3 linked regions of the Saccharomyces cerevisiae S288C genome follow. Changing the gene in region 3 together with the main gene of any one other region gives a genetic interaction. Each region holds a gene or a part of one and is shown on either strand. Other genes may lie near its edges. The genes, in order: MTG1, WRS1 and YNL034W.

Region 1 (5,610 bases), on a different chromosome or scaffold from region 3:
ATTATGTCTTTGACAGTAACTTATCATCAGGACTGTTGGAATAAAAATCAAAAATCAACTATCGTCTATCAACTAGTAGTCACACTACCAGTATATTATGATATACGGTGTTAGATGATGGCATAAGGTATGAGAAGCTGTCATCGAAGTTAGAGGATGCTGAAATGCAAGGATTGATAATGTAATAGGATAATGAAACATGTAAAACAGAGTGAAGAATAATCGTAATACTATTATGTAGAAATATGGATTCCATTTGAGGGTTCCTATATCCTCGAGGAGAACTTTTAGTATATTTTGTGTACTATTATTATAGCTGTTAAGTATAATTGGATCCTAACAATTCTCATTATTTGTCAAATTCTCATCATCTATATATTAGACGCCGCATATAGGAAACAGCGATCAAACTTTAACGAAGCGAACATACAATATTCCTGATGTAATAATACCAATCAGCGAACTGTACGAAACAAATAGAAGAACGTTATATTATATGGGATTTTACACTTTTTTGGTGGTATCATATATGCTTGAAAAGATCCTGCAGCATTTCTATATACCTGATAATATTGGTTTTATTAGAAATGGGGTCACAATCATCCGAACTATCGTAACTTTAGAAATAATCCGTCTTTCTTAAATAGTACTCTAGTACACAGTAATGGTATTTGTTTTTACTAGTATTTCTTGACATCTTTTTCTAACCTCTCTTCTAATATACTTGCAATCTTCTGATAATTATGCTTTTCATCCCGATAAAGAGAAACAATGAGGACCATTCAGCCAAAAAAAAAAAAAGCAAGTTAAGCTACTAAGAAAGATCGACACCAAGTGAAGATTAAGTGTAATAGCCTGCTTATTCAAAAATTGAGGTTTGTTGACATGAATAAATTCTGTCTACTACCTTTCCATGGCAAGAGGATAGGCGTGGCCAATATTCCTTTTACCATATTATTCAAAAAGGGCCCTTATTTTCTTCATAGTCACATCACAGCAGTTTATTACTCGACAAAGGGCAAAAATGACAGTCATGAACAAAGTCGTGTATCCAAAAAGTCTACTTTTACCCCTCTGGAAACACCTTGGTACCTCAGGATTGTTGACAATGAAAAGGAACTAATGGAAGGTAAGAAAAATAACCACCACACGATGAACAAAGAATTGGAGATACCTAAAACCTCTCCAAACTCATTAAGAAAAATAGCAGACCTCCTAACTGGTAAACTTGGTCTGGATGACTTCCTGGTTTTCGATTTACGGAAGAAAAGCCCAAACTCTGTTTCAGCCGTTAATAAGTTGGGTGACTTCATGGTCATATGTACAGCAAGATCTACCAAACATTGTCATAAAAGTTTCTTAGAGTTGAACAAGTTTTTGAAGCACGAATTCTGTAGTAGTGCATACGTTGAAGGAAACTTTAATGAGCGACAAGAAAGTAGAAGAAAAAGAAGATTAGCAAGAAAATCCAACCTTAGTAAACTATTAGGTAGAAGCTCTGAATGCTCTGCAAAAGACTTAAATAGTGAGGCTTGGTATATGATTGATTGTCGTGTCGATGGTATTTTTGTAAATATTTTGACACAGAGAAGGCGTAATGAATTGAATTTAGAAGAGCTGTATGCACCTGAAAATGAGAAATCTAAGTTCCAAAATATAGATTCAGGTAATGTCCCTACTATTTCAGGGGTAAATGAAATTTCAAGCAACAATAATATTCTTTTAGGCCTAAGAAGACTGGCCCAGCAAAGGAGAAGGTATTCAACTATCAACCCAAACGGGCTAAGTAATTTAAGATACTTTCTACAAAAGGAAGACTTCAAAGGAGCCAATAAGATAATTCAGAGTAGTAGTGGTACTGAAACTCACAATATACGTACTTTGGAGCATGTTAAAAATACTTTAAAGGATTTGGTAGGACAAGAGAGGAAAGTAGATGTTGTTCAATGGAAGTCCTTATTTGACGAACATTCAACTTTTTTAACCATAAATCAATCGGCTGCATATTGGCCACTACGACTAGAATATGCGATACTTCTAAACAAAGCAGACCCACAATTTTATTCAGATCGTGTTTTCCTCAAGGATTATCTACTTTTAAAAAAATCGTTGGGGCAAGAGTTAATAAGGGAAGATCTAATCGCTCTTTTAGAAATGGTTTTGAAAACGCAGCATTCTAGTCATTCATACTTTAACCTAGTAAAGCAAAATAGGGTGATTATCAGAGCTTTGAACCTATTTAAAGGTCTACAAACAGAGGACGATGGCTCAGTTGTTTACGATGAAGTGGTAATATCCCTTCTTTTAAATTCCATGGTCGCGGATGAACGGGTAAAATTGAGATCACTCTACGAGACAATAGACCACATTTTCCAAACATTTGGAGATAAGTTGACTTCAGGCATGATTGTCTCAATATTGCAAAACTTGGCCAAAATCAAAGACTGGAATAAGCTACTTCAAGTCTGGGAAGCTATCACACCAACGGAAGGGGAAGGTCAGGACAAAAGGCCCTGGAATGAATTTATAAATGTTATCAATCAAAGCGGTGATAGTCACGTTATATCGAAAATCGTAAATAATGGTCATTTGCTATGGATCAGACGTTTAAATGTTAACGTAACTCCGGAGTTATGCAACTCCATTAAAGCGTTATTAAAAACCGCTGGAATGGAGAATTCCACATTGGAAGAATTCCTAGTCCGTGGAACAAACAATCAATAGTATTACCTGTATATAATATCTTAATCTCTCGTCGTTCGCCTTATTTATATTTGAATCAAATATTTAATTCTGCCACATGGTAGGTTCATTTTGCCGCAGATCAAAGAACACGGACCATCATGTCAAAAGTACACAATTTTTGTCTTTTCGAAACAATTTGGTTTAGTTATTAGGAGAAGAAAGAACGAATGATAATGCTCATTACTCAGACCTGAATGCAAAAAAGCCAAATCAAATACAGAAATGCACATAAATGTGAGAGGAACTAGGAAAATAATTTCCAACGTTTCATCCTTCACACCAAGATATGAATTTCCAAAGTACAGTATGCCTCTCACTGATTTCAAGGGACACCAAGTCAAAGCTCTTAAAACATTTGAAAAGTTGCTTCCTCAAATGAATATGATAATAGAACTACGTGATATACGTGCCCCGTTATCTACAAGGAATGTGGTTTTCGATCGAATAGCAAGAAAGGAACACGATGTGATGAAATTAGTGGTATACACTAGAAAGGATCTTATGCCCGGCAATAAGCCATATATAGGAAAGTTAAAGAATTGGCATGAAGAGCTGGGAGAAAAGTTTATTTTACTGGATTGCCGAAACAAAACTGACGTCAGGAATCTACTAAAAATACTAGAATGGCAAAATTACGAACTAGAAACAAATGGCGGATATCTACCTATGGGATACCGAGCATTGATTACTGGCATGCCAAATGTTGGAAAATCTACTTTAATAAATAGCTTGAGGACAATTTTTCACAATCAAGTGAATATGGGAAGAAAATTTAAGAAAGTAGCCAAAACTGGTGCAGAAGCTGGTGTTACTAGAGCCACAAGCGAGGTTATTAGAGTAACTTCACGGAATACGGAATCAAGAAATGAAATATACTTGATAGATACTCCAGGAATCGGTGTTCCCGGTCGCGTTTCAGATCATAATAGAATGCTAGGACTGGCGTTGTGTGGTAGTGTTAAAAATAACCTTGTAGATCCAATATTTCAAGCGGATTACCTTTTATACCTAATGAACTTGCAAAATTTGAACGATGGAAGAACAGAGCTTTACCCTGGAAGCACCAATTCTCCCACAAATGATATATATGATGTTTTAAGAAGGCTTCAAGTGAATAAAAGCCAAAATGAAAAATCAACGGCTATCGAGTGGACTAACAAATGGAGGTTGCATGGAAAGGGTATCATATTTGACCCTGAGGTACTGTTGAATAATGACGAGTTTTCTTATAAAAACTATGTAAATGATCAATTGGAAAAGTTAGGAGATCTTTCGTATGAGGGATTGTCTAACAAACTAAAAGGGAACCCCAATCAAGTATTCTAGTAAATAATATCCAGCATACATAAGCTTATCTAATAATTAGATCATTTTACAATGTGTACCGAGTAATACAAAGTTGAGGGGGGAAAAAGTGTTATAATGCTCAAAATACCTGTTCAAAGAAATCACCACCCAATTTCGGAAAGTCTTACTCCATTGGAAGCATGACTAATAGATTCGATTGATACACCACCCATTAACTCTCCTAAGTCACTAGATACTTCCAACAATTTGCTGGGATTGTCAAAGTGAGTGGTAGCCTCTACTACTGCAGTGGCCAACCTTACAGGATTAGATGATTTAAAAATTCCTGAGCCAACAAACACACCATCACAACCCAACTGCATTAACAATGCGGCATCGGCTGGCGTTGCTACACCACCTGCAGCAAAATTTACTACTGGCAACTTACCTTTTTCTAAAACATCTTTCAGCAAAGAAACTGGTACCCTCATTTCCTCAGCAACTTTTGCAATGTCATCTTCGCTCTTCAATTGTTGGCACGCCTTTATCTCCTCTGTAATTCTCCTTATATGCTTGACGGCTTCAGAGACATCGCCCGTTCCAGCTTCACCCTTGGTACGAATCATAGCGGCGCCTTCATTAATTCTTCTCAAAGCTTCACCTAAGTCTTTAGCGCCACAAACAAATGGAACTTTGAATTTGTCCTTTTCAATGTGGTGAGTCCAATCAGCAGGAGTCAAGACTTCACTTTCGTCAATATAGTCAACTTCCAATGCCTCAATAATTTGAGCTTCAACAAAATGGCCAATCCTTACCTTAGCCATGACGGGAATGGAAACGGAGTTCATGATGTCCTTAATCATCTTCGGATCTGACATGCGGCAAACCTTTCCTGACTTACGCATATCTGCTGGGATGGATTCTAATGCCATTACCGCACATGCACCAGATTTTTCAGCTATTTTTGCCTGCTCTGGAGTAACAACATCCATAATAACGCCACCTTTTAACATTTGGGCGAGACCACTCTTGATCTTAAAGTCTTCTCCAGTCATCGTGATAATTAACTGAATATTAGTACTGTGTATATTTGCTAGTCGTTCCTAAAGGTTTCTCCAACAATACCATAGACTTCGTCCATAGCTCTCAGCGTCCTCCTATTTATATCGAAAATGGTACTTCGCAGCCAGAATTACAGACGTAACTAACGGTGCGGCAGAGTGTGTCAGAGTCATGAAGAAATGGCGGCGCTACCTGAAAAGTAGTGAAAAAGCCCGGCTTTCAACCCTTACCCTTGTCGGCTGAGTCATTATGTCATGATGAGCTATTCCAACTAGTGCCATAAATTCCAACTGAGTCAGTAAACGGCATTTATCAGCAATAACTGGTCACGAACTCTTTGAATGTTTTATTCTTTCTTCCAAAAATCACGTTGATGCCACCAGGTTTTTTTTTCTTATTATTTCATTTCGTTAAATAGAAAGAAAAACCATATCTTAAAGTATGCACAAAACCCACAGTACAATGTCCGGAAAGTCGATGAAAGTAATTGGGGTTTTGGCGTTGCAAGGTGCCTTT
Region 2 (5,472 bases), on a different chromosome or scaffold from region 3:
TCAATAGTTTCTGATTTTAACTTGGCGACAACTTCCTCAAACGAGAGCATAGTTTCTACATTACTCTCCTCATCAAGGATTTTCATTGGCATGGAAAATAGCTCGTCAAACATATTAAAATATGGTAAAAGCGAGGTATCCTTAATAGATGCGGAGTTGACCAAAAAATGCAGCTCTATAAATTGAGACGGGAAATGATTTAAGTGAATGAAAAGAGGAAAATTGTCTGGCCTCGTTTCTAAAATTTTTTTGGTCAGCGGATCACTAACATTATTGTATTTATACGAATCGACAGTTGCAATGCTTTTCGTGTTGACAAATTCAACACTCTTTGAAGGATTATCAATCTCAAATTTCTGTAGTAGAGATTTCGGAATTGGCCTATCATTAATATTTTTTGCATTGTTCAATCTTTTCAATAAAACCAGTTTCTTTTCATCATCAAATTCAGCTTCTCTTTGTTTGATCAAATCCGATTTTTCTTTCTCTAGTTGTTCATACATCAAAGCGCTTGGTTTAGCGGTAACTATGATAGGTTTGTTGTCTACGAATATTCTGTTCAGCAAAGATTGCCAGTCCTTTTGGGACCATTGTAATAAAGCATCAAAATCACTTAAATCCTTGAGAGAAGACACTAATGAAGAACCATCTTCATTACCATAAATATAGTCGGTAATCACAGCACTAGAAAAACGACTCTCGCCATTTTTTTCATAGTTCAGCAAATATTCCCATTTAGTATTTTCAACTACCTGTCTAACTCTTGATAAATCAATGGTATGGGTTTTCAAAATCTCCAGTACCTTGGTCTTTGTTGCTGCTATTTTTTCTGTTGGGACACCTTGGATACGAAGATCAATTATGGTTCTCATGAAATAATCAGTGCAACAATCAGTGGAATTTGCCATGGGATCGTCAATTTCAACCAGTTCTCTTGTAAACACTGCCAATGCAGAGTCAGTAAAGTAATCTAATAGCACATCAACCGCTAGGTCATTACGAAAATCTGAGTAGGGAACACCAATCCAAGAAAAGAGTAATTCACCCTGACTTTCATCAAGTTCAGGAAATTCTACAGTAGATTCCGTAACTTTATCTCTAGATTGCGGTATGTGCGAAAGCTTGTTGTCCAAAAATGGTCTTTTCTTTGGTATATTCGATGGAATCTCCGGCAATTTGTTATCCCATTCTTCCATGACGGTTAACAGTTCATCTGTTGGTACGTTACCACAAACAATGACACAAAGATTATCAGAAGAATACAGAGATTTGTGAAATTGTCTGATTTCGTCGTTGGTTAAGGTTCTTAAATTTTTCGTTAGCCCACCAGTTTCTGACCGATAGCCACTTCCTTCAGGAAACATTAATCGCTGCTTTTCTAACCCTGAAATGTACCAGCCCTGAGTTTCAATGGCTTCCATTTCACTAAATACCACACCTTTATCACCCAAATTTTCCGGGTCGATGTGATAAACCTCAGTTAAACAAGCCTCGTCTGTTAAAGTTGGATGTAGGATGTGATCTAGATAAGCAGGTAGCAACTTTGAGAATCCCTTCCAGCCAGCACTGCTTAATGTATAAACAGTTTGGTCGGTATCAGTCCAAGCATTGGTGTTAGACAAAGACAGATTACCAGCTGTGTCTAATAAACCTTTGTATGGGTAAGATTTAGAACCCATGAAGATCAAATGCTCCAAGGTATGCGGAGCACCTGAATCATTAAGACATTCTGTAGGAACAGCAAAGTAACCGTGAACCAATGGGGAGGTTTTGTGGTTTATATGTACCAGTTGCAGTTTAGTTCGTTCCGAGATATATTTAGTTATATGGTATTGTGGGACATAATCCGGTTGGAATGATACGAGCTTCTTGAACCCCATTGTGAAGATTCGACGAACTGTGTTGAAAGTGCGTATAATTGGTCTTCGTGCCGTTTTTTGGGTCACTTTCAACTTTTCAGCGAGTAGTTTCTCTCACTATATCTTACGCTCTGTTAAAATCTTTTGCCACTACTTCAAAATTACGATCTATGGGATGAAAAATTTACATGAATTTACCAATACTCGGAAAAATGCAGGACAAGAAATAAGAACATTTGTATAATACAAGAGACGCATATACACATACCTACTCAGATAAGTTTAACGAGTTTCTCTTCCATAGGAGGGTCTAATCTCCTTCAGAAGTCTAACGTCTAAAAGTTCGTAAAGAATATCATCATAAAGTATGGTATACAAAATTTACTGTGCAACAACAGCACAATGCAGTCCATGATCTGCTCATCTGAGCACGAAAACCTAACCTGCAAGTACTGGCCTGTTAGCTTCCTCGCTTCTTGGTGTGAGAATGGGTCTGGCACACTGATGCAGAAAGATGGTAGTCTTTTATATGCCGTGAAAAATTTTTCCCATATATTTGAAAAAAAAATTTTTCATACCAATCTATAGAAATAGTGAGGTCAGGAGACATCGCAACACTATTGTTCTATTGCATTATTTTTTTAGTGTTAAACTACAATTTCGGATTCTATATCATTGTATATAATAGCGTCAGAATAAGCGTGACTACTTACTTCTTTTCTTGCTTAGTTTTTGGCTTAGGTGCGACAAGTCTTTCCTTTTCGCCCCAAACCAACTTATGTGGGACCATGAATTTGTCCAAGGTCTCTTCGTCCACCTGAGCTCTGCGTTCCTGGAACGCCTTAACGAATTCTTGCAGAGTCTCGATACACAGTTTCTTCATTTCACCTGATAGTAATTCACCGGACTTATATTTGTCATAGCATTCCTTCAAGAAAACATCGTCATCCTTGAAAAATGACAAGTATTGGTATGCAACATCGACATCGGGATTACCACCTAATTCTCTATGTAGGTCGGCGGACACTTGACCACCGCTGAATGCGTACTTGTTAATTTTCTTTTGAATTTGCTTTGGTGTATCGGTCATGAAAATGGCAGTGGTATCATCAGAGGCTGACATTTTGGTCGTGGAACCTTGCAAAGCTGGAAAGAATCTGGAATGAAGCAAAGCAGGTTTGGAGTACTTCAATTTATCCGCGACATCCCTACAAACTCTGAAATATGGATCTTGGTCAATTGCACATGGAATCAAACATGGTGTCTTATCAGGCAAGCCTAACACATTAGGAAATGAGCTTGGGAATGCGGTAGCAATTTGAATGGAGGCAAAATGGAACTTACCAATACAGTCGGAGTCATTAAACCCGAAAACAGCCTTTGCAGTGGATCCTGTAATTTGTCTGGAAACTCTTACTACAGTTTCGTAAAATGCACCACCCATGTATTGCAAATCAGAAAAGATAAAGGTGTTCTTTGGATCAAAGCCAACAGCAATGATATCCTTGGCATTTTCACGGGCAAAATTCTTAACGTCATTGATGGTCAACTTGTGTTTGAATAAAAATTTTTCGTCATCTGTCAACTCTATGACTAATGGTACGTCAAACACTTCCTGTAACCATTTGGTGAAGACAAAAGGGATCATATGACCCAAGTGCATAGAATCGCTCGAAGGACCTCTACCAGTGTATAGGAAAAATGGTTTGCCTTGTTCGTAAAGGTCTAATATTTTAGTGAAGTCACGCTCACTGAAAAACAATCCCTTACGCAAAAAATGATGTGGTTCACGACCCGTCACTTGCTTGAATCTCTTCAGGGTTTCTTCGTTGACCGGCTTAGTACCGAATTGTTTGATCAATTTGTCGTAATCAATATTTTGGGCTCTACCTTGTTCATCAACCCCACCTTCCACATCCCAAGGTGTAACTACTTGCTCTTTAACATCTGTGCTTTTTAGTTCCGACACTTGTTGGGTGACTTTCTCTACAGTTTCGTCGTTGCTCATCGTTGTTCTACGACTATTTTTTGTTATTGAGTTTTATTTCTGATACCTCAATGACTAAAAAAAATTTTTCAACGTTTTGATCTTTTTTCTCTCTTTTCCATTATAAGCGGAAAAGAGATACTGTATTGAATAAATTACTGGCGTCTTGAAAAGGATACATCATTTAATAAACGCAGGACCATGCCATTGCTTTTTGAACTCATGCTGTACGTGAAAAAGTGTATATATATATATTTATATAAGAAGATATTTACAGTCAGATACCTACTTTTCGTTTGATTTCAATTCAGTCTCTGAATAGCCATAAAATAATTACCGACATCGGAACAATCGTGCTCAACCCACCCTTGATATGGGAGGTACATGGTCCCCTTGAGATCCAACAAGCGAAATTGGCCACTGTAGTTGTCATTGAACCAGGCAAGGATTTCCTTTGAGTTTATGTATTTGCTCAAATGATGAGTACCCTTTGGGACGATCTTCAAGACGTTTTCACCCATAAAAATTGTAGTAAACCATGAGATGAGATCTCTGTTTATAGTACTTAAAAAGAGTATACCTTTTTCGGGATTTAACCTCGACCAACAATGCCTTAAAATTTCACTAGGCATATCCACGTGCTCTAGCATTTCCATACAGGTGATAATATCAAATTGTCCAGTAACATCCTCCAGAGCCTTGCACTCATAATTTATCTTTCCCTCCAGCATGGGGTCTTTCTTGGCATGCTCTTTTGCTACCATGATACAATCGCGAGTCAGATCGATCCCTTGAACATTCTTCACCCATTTTAGTCTCGCGAGCGATTCACTCAAAATGCCACCACCGCATCCAACATCCAAGACGCTCACTTCTGGCCTCTTATCTAGATTAGTCTCTATGCTTTCCTGCATTTCCCGCTGAATATTGTCGCAGACGTATTCTGGTAGAAACTCCTTGTAATTAAATCCAGGGACAAATATTTCAGGATTCTGAATTTTAACCTGGTTCCTCACAGTCCTCTGCACAAAATCTAACCTAGTTAGATTCATTTTGTGTAGAATTCTTTGTGATCCGTCTGTATCCCACCAAGTAGGGGCTAGCTCCTGGAAATGCTTCACTTCATCTTCAGAAGCATCTGTGCTCTTACATCTCGTTTGTGTTTGAATTGCAAATCTTGAACAGGCGCTCAATTGTTTCCTCACATGAATAACCTTCAAAAATCTAGATCTTAACAACATTATGAATCCCATAAGACTTCGCTGTACCTGTTTCCCTTTAATTGTTTTGTATGCCTTTTAGCATACTTTACCATCCCTCTTTTTGAACAATGGAAATGAAAAAAATAAAAATATCTGCTTCTAAAACTTGTATTATGTAAAAGGGTGATAATACATTATGAAAGGTAAGTAAAAAACTATTCTATATACGTCTGAAAACGCTCTTACAACCTCTTAGTGAAGAATATGCTCTATAAAATCCAAAATTTTTACGTAACTGATTGTATCGCTGCACATTATAACCATGTGTCACCTTAACGTCACATACAGATCGTTTCAAATCCTTATTGTAGTAAGTCCAGAATAAATTATTAGACATTATGTTTCTTGAGTATGGTGATGATTT
Region 3 (6,335 bases):
GAAATACTCCCATGGTTGTGGTGGGATAGCGAGTCCAGAGTGTACTGGTCAAAGCATATCTCTGTAAACAAATCGTGGAATGGCACTATCGAGTTTTCTCCGACGGTCATGAGTAGACATTTCTGCCGGTTGCTTCCTTCGAACGGGTACACTAGTTTCTGAGTGATATCCATTTTAGTAAAAGCTTTCCCGACACCCTTTCCGAAGATTCTGCCGACCATTTCCCCAAATCCCAGTCCTACCATTTTTTCCATATCAGCATCGCTATTCAGCTTATTTTCCTGCAGATACTTCAGAAGATAGCCCCAAGCGGTGAGTAGTAGGACAATAAAGTTCAGCGCACAAGAAGTTATTTTCAAAGGACCCTTCCACTTAAATGGTGCGCAGTTGAAAAGAAACTGCATGGTTTGAATTATGTTAGTAGCAGTATTCAAAGCGGTTTCCGCTTTGTTTTGTGGTTGCGGTGCGGCAGTCACAGTTGTGATTTCGGTGATTGTTGACGTAGTAAATACAGTTGTTACATCGACCGAGTGACAAAGTACGGTTAGGGAGGTAACCAACGCAAGGAAAAGGACGGTTGTCCTTGATTCTCTGGAGTAAAGCATGATCTCGCGCACGCTCTTGCTATTGACAGCCTCGTTGTATCAACTTGTGTTTAGGAAAGGAGGCAGAATAAAGATTAAAAATGGAAGAAAAGACTCAATGGTTCCAGCGAAACAAAGATGCTTGAAAAAAAAAATAATTCAGAAACGAGTCTCTTGTCAGGAAAGCAGTGTCAGGAAAACAGTGTCTGTTCTATAGTTTGTGTTGTGTCCCTCAAGCACTTTTGTTGTTAAAAAACCTTGCTAAAGTTTTGTACAGGTTTATACCGTTGTGCAAAAACTGCTGCTAGGATAACTGAACAGTTGTTTCTGTGGCAGATGTCGTGAATAGGCGCCTTTATTTTAAGGGTCCAGTGATTCGCGATGTGAATAAATACGCGCGCCGCTCTCGAAGGAACCTTTTGAGGCTGCTTCTGTCGATAAGAAGGCTTGGCAAAGGCCTTTGCTTTACTGCTTCTTTCCCGCCTTTTTGGTGCATTGGGTTAATTGATGAATATGCGTAAAATTTAAATCAGACTATGAAAACATATATAACAACTATTACAAGAGGGAAGTGGTAGTCTACTTGAAGAGGCGCGCCAGAAGAAAACGGTGGTAAGTACGAAGTTATGTGTAGACTAACTTGCTCGTTAAAAGTATTTCGTCAGCCGTGCCAAACAGTTCGAACTATCGGAACTTCTGACGGTTCACTGATGTACAAAAGTTGAGAGCCATTTTCGTAACCGGCTTTTTGTCCCATGCTCAGAAGGATGCATTGGTACGGTCACTTCGATATTCCTTCTCTGTGAGTGGAGCCAGAGCTTTTTGTTAGTTTCTAGTTCTGTTGCTGTGCGAGACTCACGAACAAGTAGTAGCCGGCATGGTTTAGATGGTTCTGGCACGGTAAGCTGAGGAGCGCTATTATGGTTGCGGGTAGTACAGTCATTAGAAGGTGGAATAGATTCCTTGCATATGTCTATCAGTGCCTGAAACGCCCTCTCAATGAGGGAGGTGCCAGGACTCAAAATTAAGGATTGTTCGGCGGGATGCGGTAAGCCTTCGTATACTAGGTTGTTGGACGGAAAAATCTGATACGGCTTGATCTGAATGTTAGGATCGACCTTACTGTCTAAAGTATCGAGAGTGATGTTTCCTTTTCGGTTTAAAGACTTCTTCTCGCCGACATCGAGAGAAAAATGAATGTGATCAAGAACCAGATCTATTTCTCTTTGTGTGTTTTTCCAGGGACAAAAAATGGAGTAGGGCTCAATCCTCTGGAAACCTTCGTATTTGTATTGGTATGAATAAAAACGGCACTCTGCTTCCTCCATAAGTTGGTCGTAGCTGGGCATTGTATCGAAGTTGAAGGGTCTCTTCCAGAATGGAATACTTTTATTTGAGGGATTGTAGTACCTTCTGGGCTCAGATTGTTCGTCTAAAAGCAGGTATTGAACAGCTATCATCTTGCGCTCAAATTTAAATTCGAGGGAATCGTAGTCAATGTTCTTTGTACTTCTCAGAAAGAGTGGACAGTATTTTCCCATTTTGCTTTCAAACCAGTTCTGTGGCCTGTCAAGGTACTGTTGCATGTATGAAGGAACTACAGTAGTCAACGTGTGGTTAGACTGGGAAAATTCCGCTGCGGACCCGACGCTGCAGCTTATATTTTGATTGCGGGGAGCAGGAGCGCAGGCATCTTGTTTAGATTTTTGGCTTGGATAATGTTTGTGGTGATCAGTGGAATTTATTGGGCAGTAAATTTCAGTTGGAATGATAGATTCATTCGTCTCTTTTGTTCTGGAGTCCTTGGTGCGGCGGAAATCAAAGCAAGTCACTTCTGCGTTAAGCGATGCGAAATTGCCGTCTGGAAATGACGATATGTGGGGAGAATGAGGAGGATTCCATGACGAATAAACTGATGAGGATGTGCTAACAGATGAGGTTAGTGAGGGTACCGATTCGTTGTTTTCTGACGCAGAGTCTGTTGTGGGAGATGTGGTAGCGTTATTTCTTTGCACAAGAGAAGGTGGGAGCATAGCACGGTTGTGGGAGGAGGAAGAAAGCATTACGTTGCAACTATCATTTACGGAGTGGGATAAGAGGTAGGAGGTTGTCATAGCGGTGCTTTCTTCCTGGTGCATGGCAGAAGACGTTGGCAGTAATTCGTTTATTATGGTGACATTGTCGTGATTAGAAAGGACTGTCTCTTTTACCATTGCCTCGGGTATGTTTTTTGACGCTTGCCCTGAACTTACTCCAGAGCAAGCCTCAGTAGAAGAATGACCGGAATGATTCCTCTTATACACGTTCCAGAGCGGAGCATTCTTGACATCATAAAAAAAGTTGCTGACAGGATCTTTGGACTGGTTGACGTTAAGTGGTTCCGTAGCTGGTCTGATGTTTTCTTGTACGGTATCACTGACGGCTGAGAAACCTTCAGAGGAACCGCTTTCGGGAACAGACTTGGAGGATTGCAAATTAAGCCATTGAAAGTCTAGCCCAACCTTGTTGCAAAAGGCCTTGAACTCCTGGAAAGATGTAGACATTATGTGGGCGAAAAACAAAATTAGACCAACGCTTTAGCAAATTTTTTCAACCTCAAATTGATATTTGAAGATTAGATCGGATGGTTTTTTTTCCTGTGGTGTAGGCCAAGCTTAAACAAGGTTTTAAGTGAAAGTGGAAATAATTGTGATAAACATGCGGAAAGAGTGCCAGCCTTAAATAATTCCGCATTGTTGCTATGTCGTTTTGTTTTTGTTTTTGTTTTCGTCTTATTGGTATTTGTTCATTTTACGACCACAAAGGATCCAGGGCTTCTACTTGCACAGGGAGGGTTGCTTGGTTAATACAATACAAACGTCAGAGATATTAAGATTTGTAAAGGGTGCATTCAATGAGTTTTTCCTCAATGTGCCCTAGAAAGGAAGTAGTACGAACATTTCTCAGTCGGAGTTTGCCGGAAATTCGAATGACAGTGTAAGTTGAGTTTTGTGGCACAGGGATAATGAGCGGTGGTGCTGGCACACAGTAGTGACGTTGGTTTGGTAGTGTGGAGGGACGGTGGAAAACAGATAACAGTGGTCTCTTGGCCCAGTTGGTTAAGGCACCGTGCTAATAACGCGGGGATCAGCGGTTCGATCCCGCTAGAGACCATTCTTTTTTTTTGCATTGGCAATGTGATTTATAAAAGTTTTCTTAGTCCAGATTGTAAAAATGTTAGATGGGACTACAGTGCACGTACGCAGTCATTAGGACATAGGCACTGGCTCGTCTTACTGTGTAAATAAAAACTACTTAAGTTCGAGAATCTCAAATTAACTTCTAGAGCATGGCTAGTTATTCTTTAGTTGAATCGAATTCTTTCGGGTCAGAAAATTGGTGTCTTAAGTTACAGCCTAGTTATAAACATGGTCTTTTAACTGGATTAAGTAATGGCGAAATACGTTTGCTAGACTGGAGTACTGGTAAATCAGTACAAAAGATTAAGGCGAGCGAAACTGCAATCAATGATATGAAGGTCATCGGTAGCGACTTCTCTGCTGGTCATCTAGTTAGTAGCGCCTCTATCGACGCGGTGAAAGTTTTCGATATAAGGACGAATGACCGCATTGCTCAAATTCAAAACGAGGCCAACTCCCCCTTTATTTCCTTAGATTCTCGTCATGGTCTATTGGCCTGTGGTACCGAATTGCAGGGAATTGACGCTGCTGTATACATATATGATATTCGCAAATGGGACACTCCATTGAGATCATTAATTGACTCTCACCATGATGACGTTACCTGTATTAAATTTCATCCTTCTGACGTCAATATTTTGCTCAGTGGTTCAACTGATGGTTACACGAACATTTATGACTTGAAACAAGATGAGGAGGAGGACGCTTTACACCAAGTTATTAATTATGCGTCAATACATTCCTGTGGATGGTTGTCCCCAAAGAGGATATTTACACTATCACATATGGAAACATTTGCAATTCACGAATTGAACGACAAATCTGACGAATTGAAAGAGCCACAACCCTTGGACTTTGGTGATGTAAGAGAAATATGGAACTGTGACTACGTGGTAGATATTTACCCTGGACTCATTGCAACCGGTAAAACCCAAGAAAATTGTGGAGAGTTGTGCCTCCTACCATTTAAAGATGAGAAGGTGGATACTGAAAACGGTATTGTTATCCCACACGCCCATGGAGACGAGGTCGTCAGAGATATTTTTATACCAGCACAACATAGCAACATGTTATACTCCTGTGGTGAAGATGGTTGCGTTAAAATTTGGGAAAACAAACAGGGGCCGTTAGATATTCCAGAAAATTTTTGGGATTACTCTAAAAAAATGAACGTCTTAGGAGATGACGACAGAGAAGGTTCCATTAATTTAGACGAACCTCTTATTATTCAAAAAGAATCGGTTTCCACGAGGCCAAGGAAGGAGAAACACAAGAAAGCCAAGAAACATTCCATGAAAAGTCGTTTCAAACCATACTAGTTTCATAAAGACAATACATCTAAAGAGATGCCTAACATCTGCAAGAGATTTCGGCAGAACTACTCTATAACTTAAAAAACGAAGCATACATTCCAAACAAGTTGATACTTCTAGATCATAGTTTATCTTCATAGGGCTTCTTTTGTTGGTACAATGTTATAACAACTATATTTCTGCTATATAGAGTATTAATGCATTTTTTTTTTTTATCTCCAGCATTAAACGTGCACGCTTCTATAAGGTGGAAAAAAAATACTAGAAAAGGAATAAGTGAAACACCACGTTGATGGTGAAAAAATATAAAGGGGCGAGCTGGGAATTGAACCCAGGGCCTCTCGCATGCTTTGTCTTCCTGTTTAGGCAGGAAGTCGCCCAAAGCGAGAATCATACCACTAGACCACACGCCCGATTATTTTATGGTGATTTCTGTCTCACAGGAAATTGTTATCAAAGGATAAATAGCATATTTGTCTTAAAGAAGGTTTTATAAATAGACATGCAGAATGTACTTATCAGTGGTATTGGAATGTGTTGGAATAAAAATCAACTATCATCTACTAACTAGTATTTACGTTACTAGTATATTATCATATACGGTGTTAGAAGATGACGCAAATGATGAGAAATAGTCATCTAAATTAGTGGAAGCTGAAACGCAAGGATTGATAATGTAATAGGATCAATGAATATTAACATATAAAATGATGATAATAATATTTATAGAATTGTATAGAATTGCAGATTCCCTTTTATGGATTCCTAAATCCTCGAGGAGAACTTCTAGTATATCTACATACCTAATATTATTGCCTTATAAAAAATGGAATCCCAACAATTACATCAAAATCCACATTTTTCTTCATGGTAGCGCCTATGCTTCGGTTACTTCTAAGGAAGTCCCATCAAATCAAGATCCGTTAGCCGTTTCAGCTTCCAATTTACCGGAATTTGATAGAGATTCCACTAAGGTTAATTCTCAACAAGAGACAACACCTGGGACATCAGCTGTTCCAGAGAACCATCATCATGTCTCTCCTCAACCTGCTTCAGTACCACCTCCACAGAATGGACAGTACCAACAGCACGGCATGATGACCCCAAACAAAGCTATGGCCTCTAACTGGGCACATTACCAACAACCATCTATGATGACGTGTTCACATTATCAAACGTCACCTGCGTATTATCAACCGGACCCACACTATCCGTTGCCACGGTATATCCCACCACTGAGTACTTCCTCACCTGATCCA

Evidence for each region.
Region 1: mutations in YNL034W (region 3) and MTG1 together harm fitness more than expected from each alone (negative genetic interaction), as found in Saccharomyces cerevisiae (one large-scale study listed by BioGRID).
Region 2: mutations in YNL034W (region 3) and WRS1 together harm fitness more than expected from each alone (negative genetic interaction), as found in Saccharomyces cerevisiae (one large-scale study listed by BioGRID).

What each region holds. Positions count from the first base shown.
Region 1 is NC_001145.3:457,885-463,494, reverse strand, and holds MTG1 (putative GTPase MTG1), read left to right. Parts: upstream 1-2,967; coding exon 2,968-4,071; downstream 4,072-5,610. Other genes in the region: ATP25 (Atp25p), read left to right, coding at 886-2,724; pyridoxine biosynthesis protein SNZ1, read right to left, coding at 4,194-5,087; SNO1 (putative pyridoxal 5'-phosphate synthase), read left to right, coding at 5,536-5,610. UniProt on the Saccharomyces cerevisiae protein: Mitochondrial GTPase involved in assembly of the large ribosomal subunit. Plays a role in expression of the mitochondrial translational machinery.
Region 2 is NC_001147.6:133,959-139,430, forward strand, and holds WRS1 (tryptophan--tRNA ligase WRS1), read right to left. Parts: upstream 3,868-5,472; coding exon 2,569-3,867; downstream 1-2,568. Other genes in the region: SDD3 (Sdd3p), read right to left, coding at 1-1,880; YOL097W-A (uncharacterized protein), read left to right, coding at 2,262-2,447; COQ3 (hexaprenyldihydroxybenzoate methyltransferase), read right to left, coding at 4,149-5,087; HMI1 (ATP-dependent 3'-5' DNA helicase), read right to left, coding at 5,269-5,472.
Region 3 is NC_001146.8:567,269-573,603, reverse strand, and holds YNL034W (uncharacterized protein), read right to left. Parts: upstream 3,128-6,335; coding exon 1,289-3,127; downstream 1-1,288. Other genes in the region: YNL033W (uncharacterized protein), read right to left, coding at 1-605; YNL035C (uncharacterized protein), read left to right, coding at 3,913-5,082.